2 linked regions of the Cricetulus griseus genome follow. The protein of the gene in region 2 interacts with the protein of the main gene of each other region in a biochemical or structural test. Links are inferred from orthologs where the notes say so. Each region holds a gene or a part of one and is shown on either strand. Other genes may lie near its edges.

Evidence for each region. The genes of interacting proteins can lie anywhere in the genome.
Region 1: the proteins of Fyb1 (region 2) and Skap1 form a complex in vitro, tested with the Homo sapiens proteins (2 studies listed by BioGRID and IntAct, with this or other methods). The link is inferred for Cricetulus griseus from reciprocal best matches to the Homo sapiens genes FYB1 and SKAP1.

The regions. Positions count from the first base shown.
Region 1 is NC_048600.1:109,633,638-109,639,880, reverse strand, and holds the start of Skap1 (src kinase-associated phosphoprotein 1), read right to left. Parts: upstream 3,542-6,243; coding exon 3,487-3,541; intron 1-3,486. UniProt on the Homo sapiens protein: Positively regulates T-cell receptor signaling by enhancing the MAP kinase pathway. Required for optimal conjugation between T-cells and antigen-presenting cells by promoting the clustering of integrin ITGAL on the surface of T-cells.
Region 2 is NC_048595.1:340,307,200-340,313,293, forward strand, and holds the start of Fyb1 (FYN-binding protein 1), read left to right. Parts: upstream 1-2,559; 5' UTR 2,560-2,669; coding exon 2,670-2,699; intron 2,700-6,094. UniProt on the Homo sapiens protein: Acts as an adapter protein of the FYN and LCP2 signaling cascades in T-cells. May play a role in linking T-cell signaling to remodeling of the actin cytoskeleton. Modulates the expression of IL2. Involved in platelet activation.

The DNA.
Region 1 (6,243 bases), on a different chromosome or scaffold from region 2:
ACAAAAGAATATGAACCCAGTAACTGAGCTTCCAAGTACTTGAAGCCAACTGACCTTTTTATAGAACAATATGTCCCATTGCTCTCTCCCTCTTGTCAGTGCTGATGAACCTGGGAACTTGTGTGTTCTAGGCAAGTGTTCTGTTGTTCCCATATCTCTAGCTCTATTAAGTCTTGATTAAAAATTTAAAAGAGAGACTGGAGTGATGGCTAGGTAGGTAAAATGCTTTCTGTTCAAACACAAGGACCTGATTTCAAATTCTGCTACCCAAGTAAAACCTGGGTACAGCAACGCTTGTAACACAATACGTGTGATCCCAAAGCTGATTAATCACCTGTCTGTAGCCGGGCGGTTGTGGTGCATGCCTTTAATCCCAGCACTAGGGAGGCAGAGGCAGATGGATCTCTGTTAGTTCGAGGCCAGCCTGGTCTACAAAGCAAGTTCCAGGACAGGCTCCAATGCTACAGGGAAACCCTGTCTCGAAAAAACAAAAACAAAAACAAACAACAAAAACAGAAGAAAGAAAATGACCCACAGCTGGATTTTATAGAGGCATTTCTCAATTAGGTTGGAAGATCTCAAATGTAGACTGTCATGACATAACCATCCTACAGATGGATGGAATAGCTTCACTGGAAGGAAAGGTGTTGACATAAGTAGACTCGGAAATGAGGAGTCAGTAAAATGACCATCCATGGTGCTGTGTGTGTGGCGGGGTGGGGGGTGGGAGGGTGTCTGTGTCTGCCTGTGCAAGTCTGTGTGTGTGTCCGTGTGTGTTTGTGTGTGTGTCTGGGTCCACATCTGTGTGTGTGTGTGTGTGTGTGTGTGTGTGTGTGTGTGTGTGTGTCTCTGTGGGTGTGTCTGTCTATGTGTTTGTGTGTGTAGTGCATGCTCACACTTATACTAGAGATAGAACTCAAGTCAGACAAGGATACAAGGTAAGACCTTGACAAAAAAAAAAAAAACATCTGAACAACAACAAAATAATCTTGAATTATAACCCAAATTATAAATAAATACTCTTAAGTTCATAAGTAATATAAGTAATTAAGTAAATTAACAAATGGGAAGTAAAAGACAGATCTATAGTGTAGAATTCAAAATAATTTATGTAGATATTTTACTCCAAGATAAAGGAAACATACCTCCCAATCCTTGGGTATGGGCTGTACACAGCCACTTTCTTCCAAAAGACTGCAGAAAGGAAAGGGGAAATAGAGCAACTCCACAGAGGAGAAACTTGACACCAGCCAGGTGTTCATGGTTCAACATCAACCATCATAAATCACACCGACAGTGTGGACCCTTGATGCAATGTGGTGAAAATGATACTTTTGTGATCTTCCTCCCTTAAGCCTGTAACCCAGTCTAAACCTGAGAAGAATGCTAGACACATTCTAATACAGGGTCATTCTGACATTTACCTGACCAGCACTCCTCAAAAGGTTACACTCATTAAAAACAAAGGGAGTGTGGGAGACAGTCACAGCTGTGAGGCACCCAAGAAGACCTGACTGTATCCTGGATAGGATCCTGAGATGGAAAAAGGGCATTAAGTAAAATCAGGAAAACTGAATGAACTGTGGGTTTTAGGTATGTGATGATGCTGGTACGTTAGACATAACCAAAGCACCTGTCATGGCTAATCTTGGCTGTCAGCTTGACTACATCTGGAATCAACTAAAACCCAAGCAGTCGGGCATGCCTGTGAGGGATTGTCTTCATCTCATCATTTGAGGTCAGAAGACCCACCCTAAATCAGGCTCATTTGAGGTCAGAAGACCCACCCTAAATCTGGGCCACACGTGCCGGTAGCCGCCCACATAAGAGGCCACGGAAGGAGGAAGCTTTTCATTTTGCCTGCTTGCCCTCTCTCCCACCATCAAGTTCAGCTATGTGGCAGCTGAGAGGTTCCTTTGCTGTTATTAGAACCCCCGTCTTCAGTATTTCAACACAGACCAGAGACCAGCTGAGATGTCTAGTTTCATGGACTGAAAAACTACTGGATTCTTGGCCCTTCTGTTGGCAAAGTGCACTGTTGGACCAACCAGACCACAGCGTGTAAACCATTCTAGTAAATTAATTCCGTTTCATGTAAATAGATCCATTCTATCAGTTCAGTTCCTCCAGAGGACCCTGACTAATGCAACACCACACAGACGTAAAATGTTCTAATTAAGAGAAAGTGGAGGAAAGAGAAGGGTTAAGGGAACTTGGCATCACCTGTTTAATATTCATGTAAACCTAAACTTTCCACAAAAATTCAATTAGTAAAAGCTGTAAACCATGTAATCTGAATGCGCTAAATCTGATTATTTAGCAAGATGGGTAAAAAACGCTAGCTTCCAAGACTGAACACAGGAGTGCAATTCCTGTGTCCCTTATGGTGGAAGGAGAAAATCAAGTCCTGAAAGTTACACACACACACACACACACACACACACACACACACACACACACACAAACTAACTAGAAAGTTAAAATATAGGGCTCGGTGCATTCATTTTAGAGTCACTGCCACACTCCGGTTGGGCACTGTGATGAGCATCAGAACTTCAGCAGAGGTCACTACCAGGTGGTGGAACGGCAGCTATTCTTACCATCTTATTTGTATTTCTAGATGTGTGTCTATTTCTAAGTTGTATGTTTCAGAATAGAAAAAAATAGTACAATAAAAATCAGTGTAAACCCTGAGATACTCACGGTTTAGAGACCCTTTACTTTCCATTCCCCACCCTGGATTCATTCAGTGGTAGAGGACCTGACTGGCTTTCACATAGTCCTTAACAGGGTAGGGTTCCAATGGGCAGGTACAGGAAGTGGGCAGCAAAGATGATGCTATGTTTGGGTCCTATGGCACAAGCCCATGATCCTAGCTACTCAGGAAGCTGGGGCAGGAGGATGGAAAGTGGAAGGCCAGCCTTAGCAATTCAGTGATGCACTTTCTCAAAATAAAAATACAAAAGGCACTGGAGATATTACTCAGTGATAGGGTATTACCTACCTTGCTCAGGCCTGGGTTCAGTCTCCTGTAGTATATGATGATGATGATGGTGATGATAAAGAAATCTTATGTGATGTGGTAAGTCAAACTGTTCACTTTCTTCTTGTAGAACACACATGGATATGAACTTGTGCACACACACACACACACACACACACATACACACACACACACACACACACACACACACACACACACACACACGCACACACGAAATCATTGAATTTACCTACTAAATTCTTCCTCCACCCAGTTTTACTGAGGTAAAGTTGATATTGGTCCTTACTAAGTTCTTGTAAGTAAAATACCTGCCTACTCCATATGCGGAAATGTACCAATGGGTTATAATTACGGCCCTGTCGAGGCTGCTAAGGATGAGTTGATTCTTTTCTTAAAACTTGTCCTGTTTTAGTTTTCCTTCCGATTAATTATGAGAAAGCCTTTCCTTAGATACTTCAGGAGTGAAGTGTTTGTTTCTTTACCTGCAATCAGCATCTTCTTGGAGAAGTAAAAAGACACAATGATGACCTCTGCCATTGATCTCATTGTTTATTTAGAATGCACTCTACAGATACACCCACAAGCTTTCTAGGTGAAATATAGAGCCAAGAAAACAAGAAGTCAGAAGGAAGGGCTACATGCAGGCTTGTGTTTTTGATATTGCGTTCAGCCTCCAGCAAAATCCTGATATGAAAACACTAAGGAAAGAAATTAGAGAAACTACTTCACTCTTTGATTGAGAAGGTGGAGCTTCTCACGGTGAGAACCCAAGGGGCCTGGGCAAGCCGTCTCGAAGATGCCAGATAGGAAAGAGATCTCAAGCTGTCCTGCAATGCCCCACCTCTCTCTAGTCACCATTCTGCTAGTAGGTTTTCCCATTAAGTAGATAACAGATTTGCTAACAAGAGCTCTTTGTGGGGACTGGAGCTTGCCTGGTGTATATGCAAGCTCCTGGATTTGACATTTGGCACTCAATTTCTTTAAAAAGCTGCCAGATCGAGATGCCTTGGGGTCTCTGCAACTGCAATATCCAGTGTCAATAAGGAGGATGAGGCACTCATGGGGTCTGCCCAACAGTTGCCTTCAGCTAGAGAGTGAGCAATACCATGTGACACTCAAGTCCTCATAGGAAAAGATGCCAGCCACCTGCCATAAACAATGACACACACAAATGCCTCTATTCTTCATCACGTATTCAATGGGCACCGGGAAAACGAGCAGGACACACACGAGCAAAGGACAGACAGTCAAATGCACAACTAGAATTATGACAGGAGCTACCAAAAAGGGAAGTGCGGAGCGTAGGAGTGACATTCACAAATGTCTCTGGAGGTCAGGGACAGAGGTGAGTTACAGAGAATGAAGAGATTTAAACTTGAAGAGCTAAACAAGGTCAGGAGGGGAAAGAAAGGCGGCAATGTTCATCTAGAAGGCACACTCATAAACACATAGTATGGTGCACTACAGTAACACACGATTGCTTTAAATCTCATATTTAAAAGGTAAACACAGCTTTGGCAAAGACATTAAAATTCACACCTGCCCTAAAAGGAAAACGCCCTCAGGTTTCAGACATCTGTGCAAGGAAGTCAGAACAGGAAAGAAAAAAATAAATAAATAAAGGACTGGGACAAGGGAGTAGAAGGCATGTACCACACTGGAGGCACAATACGGTCATCATGTCCCAGCAAATACCCACTAATGCGCTAAGGCTGCCTGCCAGGAGGGGCCCAGACCTCCTGGTTCAAGGCTAGTAAGAGTGTCTGATATTTTCCCCAAATTCTCTGACCTTGTCCCTTTACAAAGTCACTATTTTGTTTATTTGGAGAAGAATAACATCTTAAGGGTCACATTTTTTTTTTCCTAACGACTGAAAGATAAATGTGGCTTCTTCCTGTTTTCTCAAAAACACTCCTGACACTCTGGGGGGAAAATACTTCAGTCAGTGCCGCTAACAGTTGCAAATGTTCTTTGTTGATATATGTTTCTAAAACTCAAAAGTTTGCTTCAATCAACCTTTTATTTGGAGGCAAGATGAATGACCCAGTGCTGCTGAAAACAATTCCACCAACCAAATACCAATAAAAGTGTTCCTAGAGGGGATATTGTGTGAAAGAATTTGAACCGCTAAAGCAGAACTCGCATTTCTGAGAAGAATAATGGATACATTTCTGCCTGTAACTGGCATTGCACCCAAGAAAACAGTTGAGGTGTTTGTTTTGGTCTGTGGGTAAAAAGGATTAAGATAGGTCAAAAATGTTAATTTTAACTAATTAATTGAATTAATTCCATGGACTTACTGGCTAGTACTCCAGGTTTCTTTTGCTCTAAGAAGAACCCCCAAATTATCTGCATATACCATTTAAGCATAAATGACTGTCCTAGCCAGGCAAGACCACAGAAATGCCCAGCTTCTCTGGTTACATTGAGTTAATCCCTGTTTTACTTCAACAACCCTCTGCTGATTTCTGCCATTAATACCTGACCCTTCCCAGGCTCTTCCTTTTATCAATACATCTCCACACCTTTTCTTCCTTATTGCCCATAGATATTTTATTAGTCAGGGCACACTGTGTGGACAGTTTTGTCTACTGTATTTCTACTTCTAGTTTTTTACTTGCTGTTGTCTGTGAGCATTTGCTTAGGACACCACTACTGTTTGAATGCCTGTGTCTCCCCCAAATCCACATGCTGAAACACAGCCACCAATGTGGTAGTATTAAAAGGTGGGACTTTTGGAAGGTTATTGACTGTCCTGATGGAAGTCAGAGCTCTAATAAAAAGAGGCCCTAGGGTCACTACTTGCCCCTTTTACCACGCAAGGGCACAGAAAGTGTCATCTCTAAAAAGTCAAGCAGGTCCTCACCAGACATCAAATCTGAAAGTGTTTTGGTCTTAACTCCCTAGTCTGGAAAACTATGAAAAATAAATATTTGCTGCTTACAAACTGTTTATAGCATAAATGAATATTTGTGGCTTATAAACTGTTTTGTTAGAGCAGCCCAAACGGCCTAAGACAATTATTAAATACTGCTCCCCTGCCTTCAACGGGCTTAGAAGTTACACATTTTAGCATTTTGTCCGTAGTCTGCTTTACCCTTATGATTTAAAAAAGAATGTAATCCTGTCCCTCAAGTTAACAAATATTAATGAGCTGGTGTCTTTTGGTTCTTTCTGTCAATGTGAAGATTTCTAGCCAAGAAAATAATCAATGTTTTATTATGTACATTATGTTTCAA
Region 2 (6,094 bases):
CAACTTCACATGTTCATTTTATAATTAATTAATGTATTAATTTAAGCCACAGAGTCCAATTAGTGCTGTCCAAATGCACATTGGTGTTGTGTCATCAATTGGAGCATGGGGAATATACCAGTGGCTGTATTTCTTTTTTTTTTTTCATTATTCTTTTTTTTTATTAAATTATTAATATTTTCACATGTACTTTCCCTCTCCCTCTCCCTCCCCCCCCCATTCCTTCTCCCCCACCTCCAACCTACCCCCCACCCCATCCACCCGCCACTCCCCAGGCAGGGTAGGGCCCCCAACCAGGGCTCCACCAAGTCCACCAAATCTTCCTGTGCTGGGCCTAGGCCCCTCCCCATGTGTTCAGAGACAGAGCGAATCCCTTCAAGTGGGATGGGCTCTCGAAGTCCCTCCCACCCACCAGGACAAAACGCCAGTCCACCTCCAGAGGCCAGTGGCTGTATTTCTAAAGAAAGAGGATTCTTCCTTATGCAACAACGGTCAACTAACTGCCAATAGCTTCTCAACTGGGGCATGGGGCTTCATGAACTCCTCCTTCTACCTGCTGGAATTTTAACTGGTTGGATATCATGCAGGTCCTATGTAGATAATCACAGCTACTGCAATTTCAAGGGCATCATTTCACATCACTCTTCCCTCTCTCTGGATCTTTCTGTCCCCTCTCCTATGATGGTCCTGAAAGACCCCCGGAGGCTCAGGCCCCCAGGATCTTCGTCCAGAACTGCAACGACCCCAATCACCAGGTGGAGGCGGAAACTTGATGCAAACAGCACAAGGCTTCATTGCAGTTGTTTAACGAGCTAACTCCATGTTAGCACGGGACTTTCATCCATCCACCATGGTTGATGGCTAGGAAAAACAGCAAGAAGCCACTGCATAAAGATCTTATAGGGCAGCATAAGGGAAGTGTCTAGGGGTATGCACAGGCTCAGGATTGGTGTGCCTCCAGGCTTGCCCTGTGTTGATTGGTCAACTGGTTGTTATGGCCCATAGGCCCTCCCAGGGTGATTGCTATGCTCTGCATGTCATTGCTGTGCACTTGTCTGTAAAGCACATCCAGAGCCGTAAAGCATAGCACCACCAGCTAACTTCTGATTGGTTCCTGGTCACACACAAGGCAGGCATCTGACCTCCTAGTGACCAAGGCAAGGTCAGGCAAGCCTGTTATGGCTGCCAAAATGGGTAGCTAGTCCCTTCATTCCCTGAGCCTTAGAGGAGGGTTTATATTGATGCTCCGTCTGTGGTTGAGCATTCACAGTAGCTTATTCTCACCACTTTGCACAGTAACACATCTTGGCATTAACCACTGCCCAACTGCAATAAGTCTATTCTCTGGCCAAGATTGGGAGCAGCACATAGCTATGACTATAACATAAATATTTAGATGGCCATAGCATAACATGACCATTTAGAAAAAAACACATCAATACTAGGTGTATTACTTCTTTAGTCATGGCTTTTGACCATGATTATAGTACAGTCATGAATTCCCTTCAGAGGAGTAGGCCTCAAGACCTATCAAGGGAATGGTTGGTTACCCCCACAGACAATCTTTTATTACTATTACACCAATGAGCATGTCTTGCCTGGAGGATTGGTATTAAAACATGTAGGGGCCAGCACTCCATGAGATCATTGATATATTTTCTTCTCAGCAGCCTACCTAGCAAGCACCTTTCAGAAGTGTGAAAGCTGACCAACAGGGAGAGTTTCCTGGACAGTTTAATTTTTATATCTCTGGGTCCTGAAACAAGAGTGGTGTCTTCAGCAATAGGATCTTACCATCTAGTTGAGGTGGGCAGCCAAGAGCCATGGTAATAGCCTGTACTGTTCTTGGGCCTCTCTGAACAATAACTCATAGGGAGGTAACTCATAAAGTCCAATGACTACTATTCTTAAGACACAGACAAATGAAGAACCATACCAATGACAATGTCTAATGAAACCAAGACAAAGATATTACCATGTGATGTAGCAAGTACTCTAATGGGGGAAAAAGAGTCTTGAGTATGTGGGTGAAATATGAGCTGAGCTTAAATACAGATGTCAGGCAACCCATGTGAAGACCAGAATGAGGCAGGTATGGACATAAGGAAAGAGGGATATCATGTGTGACTATAGATGTGTTCCAAATTAGTGAAAGAAAGCCTCACTTGTCTTTGAGGGCTTGGAATACAGTTCAGTGCTAAAGTGCTTGCCTAGCATGAGTAAAGCCATAAGGTCAATAAAAAGGGGGGAGGAAGGAGTTGGGTTACTTTTATCCTGAGGGTTGGAATGCCAATGAAATGCTTTAAGCATTTATCACAGGAATATATGATTCATTTATCACAGGAATATCTTGATGACAGTCCTATGGGGAAGGATCCCATTTGAAGAACAGTTCTATAAGAAGTTAAGGCATTGTCAGACAGGAAGTGAGAGGGGCAGTGGGGGAGGGGAGTGGTAAATTCCAAAGATCTTTGGGAGGGGCTGGGCCAAGCTGATGGGAGGTGAGAATGTGAGTCAGAGAAAGGAGGCTAATGCAGATTGCCTATGTCACATGTCGTAAGAGAATGGTGACTGTTGGGACACTGAGAGAAAAACCTATCCAGACATGTTCACCTGATGAGAAAGTCAGGAATAAGAGCCTCAGCAGGGAAAGGGAGACATGAGGACCCATGAAGGACAAGAGGCTAACAGGGAACACGGTGAGCTGTGGGGGTGGAGAGGGGGCCAAACCAGACAGGGCCTCTAGGTGCATACTGCCAGGTATGGGAACTTGCTAACCAAATCAAAAGGGTGGAGCCAGCAGGAAGGGAAGGGAGCATTGTGGTGTTATTGAAAGCCATCCCTGTGACCACTGTGACCTTCAGGATCCCTTACCCCACTCAAAAAAAAAAAAAAAAAAAAAAAAAAAAAAAAACTGGTCAAAACAATTCATCAAGAATGAAGAAAAATTGTTTCGCTTCTTGAATCTTCTATTTTAAACATTTTATCTTTTGTATTTCCTCATATTTCCAACCAAATGCTATAGTTATAAAGCAGTGCATGCTTTGTTGTGAAAAGATAAATTCTAGATAAAACAAATTAAAGTTCAAGGGGGGGGATCATAAGTCAGATATTAATCCTCCCATGTAGCCCCCCTCTCATTCTCTTTCAGATTCATAGGTGTTCTTTTTTTCCATTGTTGCTACTTATCTATATTTCTAAATACATAAATACAATCTGCTCAGTCTGCATAATACTACTTATATGTATATATCTCAGGGTTGACCATTTGGTATTGGATAATCAATTTGTGTTTTCCCTGGGAAAGACTTTCTCCTGCTCTCAGCATTCCATAGTGACTTGTCGTTCTTTGTGTAGGGTGAGGTCTCATGAACTTTTTTCTGTCCATGTTGTTTTTTTCTTTAAAGATTTTATATATATATATATATATATATATATATATATATATATAATATATGTGTGTGTATTAATTTATATAATTAATATATATATAATTTCACCTACCTGTGTTAGGACACCATGTGCAGTACCCATAGAAGCCAGAAGAGGGCAACAAGAGCCTCTGGAATGGAGCAACCATAGGCAAATTATGAACTACAATGTAGGCACTGAGAACTAAACCCAGGTCCTCAGGAAGAATAACCAATGCTCTTAACCACTGAGCCCTCTCTCCACCCCCCTCCCGATCTCTCAGTTTTAAGTCTTGTTCTCTGATGCAAATGTATTTCCAAGATCTTTAAAAGCTTTAAACTCCAAAGCTGCCCAGAAAGTTTCCCAGCTTTCTGGAGAAGCAAAATAAAGAACAGATGATAAAAATAATGCTGAAGTTAGAAGAAAAGGCAGAAGATGTTAGAGGAGAGCTACTGGTTTTTTGTTTGGGGTTTTGTTTTCACACATTACATAGGAGCCAATCGTGCATGGTGTGAGTTATGATGTTTCTCTTTATGCAGAAGTTTTGAGGTAAGGAAGAGGAAATGACCACAAAAGTCAAAGAAAATCAGCAGAACCCATGTCTGCTCTCCACTTCCACATAACCCACTTTCATCTTCATTACCAGTGAGTCTGGGCATCTTATAGCCAAACACAGCAGAGAGTAAGCACAGTGGAGGAATATGTTTCTTTGACAAACTATGATCTGAACACACTTGGCTCACAAGCCAAGCACGTAGACGTCGTGAGCTTTCACTGAGACATTCATTTGAACATCATCTGCTACACATTAATCTTGGCGGTGGAAGGGTGTGGCTCGGGCTGCCATACACTCGTCTTTTCAGAGCATTAGAGGGGAACGCAGTGCTATCAAACTACACTCAGATCCCTGGGACAGAGGAACCCATTGATCTTGGGCCAGGTGATTGCATTCTCAAATACATCAGTAAAGGCTTTCAATGCACACACAGTGGAACTAGTGTGGTCACCAGCACCATATCACCACACTTGAAATATGACTCCCTTGGCCATTGGTTTCCAGGTTGGTTAACCTATTTCAAGACTCAGGATATCAACTAAATTTTTTAATTGAGTAGAAATGTTATCATTTCTAAAAATTAAACAGCAATAATTTGCATGAAATAGCAATAATAAGTTCTACTTCTAATGTGGAAACAGAGAAACAAGCATATGGACAGGTAACAGGAGTGAACAGTAATCACTTTCCTGGTCAGATGGAATGGGCACAAGTTAGAGGTGAAATTTAGCTGGGCAATAAAGAGGGATACTGATATCCTAAACAGGCATTTGATCCTGGGAGTGATAATGCTGGGAGTAAAAAGGTTCCCCCACTTCCACTACACACCCTCCCAACTTACTATCTCTTCTATACCAACTTGTGGTCTATAATACAGCAGCACAGGATCATCATGGCTCAAGTTTCCTACCCCAGAGATACAGACAGTCATCACTTGCTTAAAACCACTCCTGTGGGAGTGGGAACCCTGAACATTTAGTAACATGTTCAGAAGTACTTAGGTGTCACCTTGGATTGGGTGGCAGATGGGAGGTCTGATGTTGACTTGAGAAAACTTTGAGTGATTTTATTTTTATCTAATTGCTCACATTTCCCTGTGGCTTATCAAAGATTTCACTGGGAAGTAACCACAAAAATAATGAAAACCGTATATAGTATATCAGTATCTTTCTAAAATTATTTTGTGTATGGTGTGTGTTTGACATGTATGTATGTCACAGGTGAGCACATTCCCTGGCATGCGTGAGGACACCTCTGGTGTTGGGTGTCACCTTTCATCTTGCTTGAAATGTGGTCTCTTTTCCATTCAGCACTGGGTACACCAGGCTTGCAGGACTACAAGCTTCCTAGCTTGCCATAGGAATGTTAGGATTGCAGATACGTGCCTTCACACCTGGCTTCACACACACACACTCAGAATCTCTGAGTTCTGAGGATTTCAATTCAACTTCTCATGATTGTATGGCAAATGCTTGACCCACCAAGGGTTTTCCCAGCCCACCAGTTTCCTTTTAAGACTTAATACAAGTAATCCTTTTCAACTCTACTTTCAGATATGACTATCTCAAGAAGGATTATAGGTAACAAAAACCATGCTCTTTGTGGTGTGTCGTCTTTCTTGATGGAGGAAGAAATGCTAGGGCTACGTGTTATCCTGAAAGACTCACCATGGAGATATTCTCCCTTTTCCTTATTGACTATGCAAACAAAAACCATTCTCAGACTGCGACAACCCAGGAGGTGTTAAAACACCACCCTGATTGGATGTATTGTGAAGGTAAAGATCCCCAATGGAGTCTATAGAGGGGCATCAGTCCTATGAGTGTAGCTCTCAGTTTCCTTAGAAAGAACAAGAAGAGGATCCTCTTTGACAACTGAGGGGGAGCACAGAGGGAAGGGCTAATTTTAACTTTTTTGTTTGTTCATTTTACAGTTCTTTTCAAACTGTAAGAGTTTCTTGTTTTGAGAGATGTTGGAAATAGGCCGCTGGCCAGAGAGGGTTATTGGGCTGTAGTTCACTAACTCATTAGGGGCAGATCTTCCTGGGAGGACAGTGGGCATCTCTAGCATGACCTCTACAAGGTCATAAGCCATGAAGAGAAACAGCCACTCTTGTTCATTTTGCAG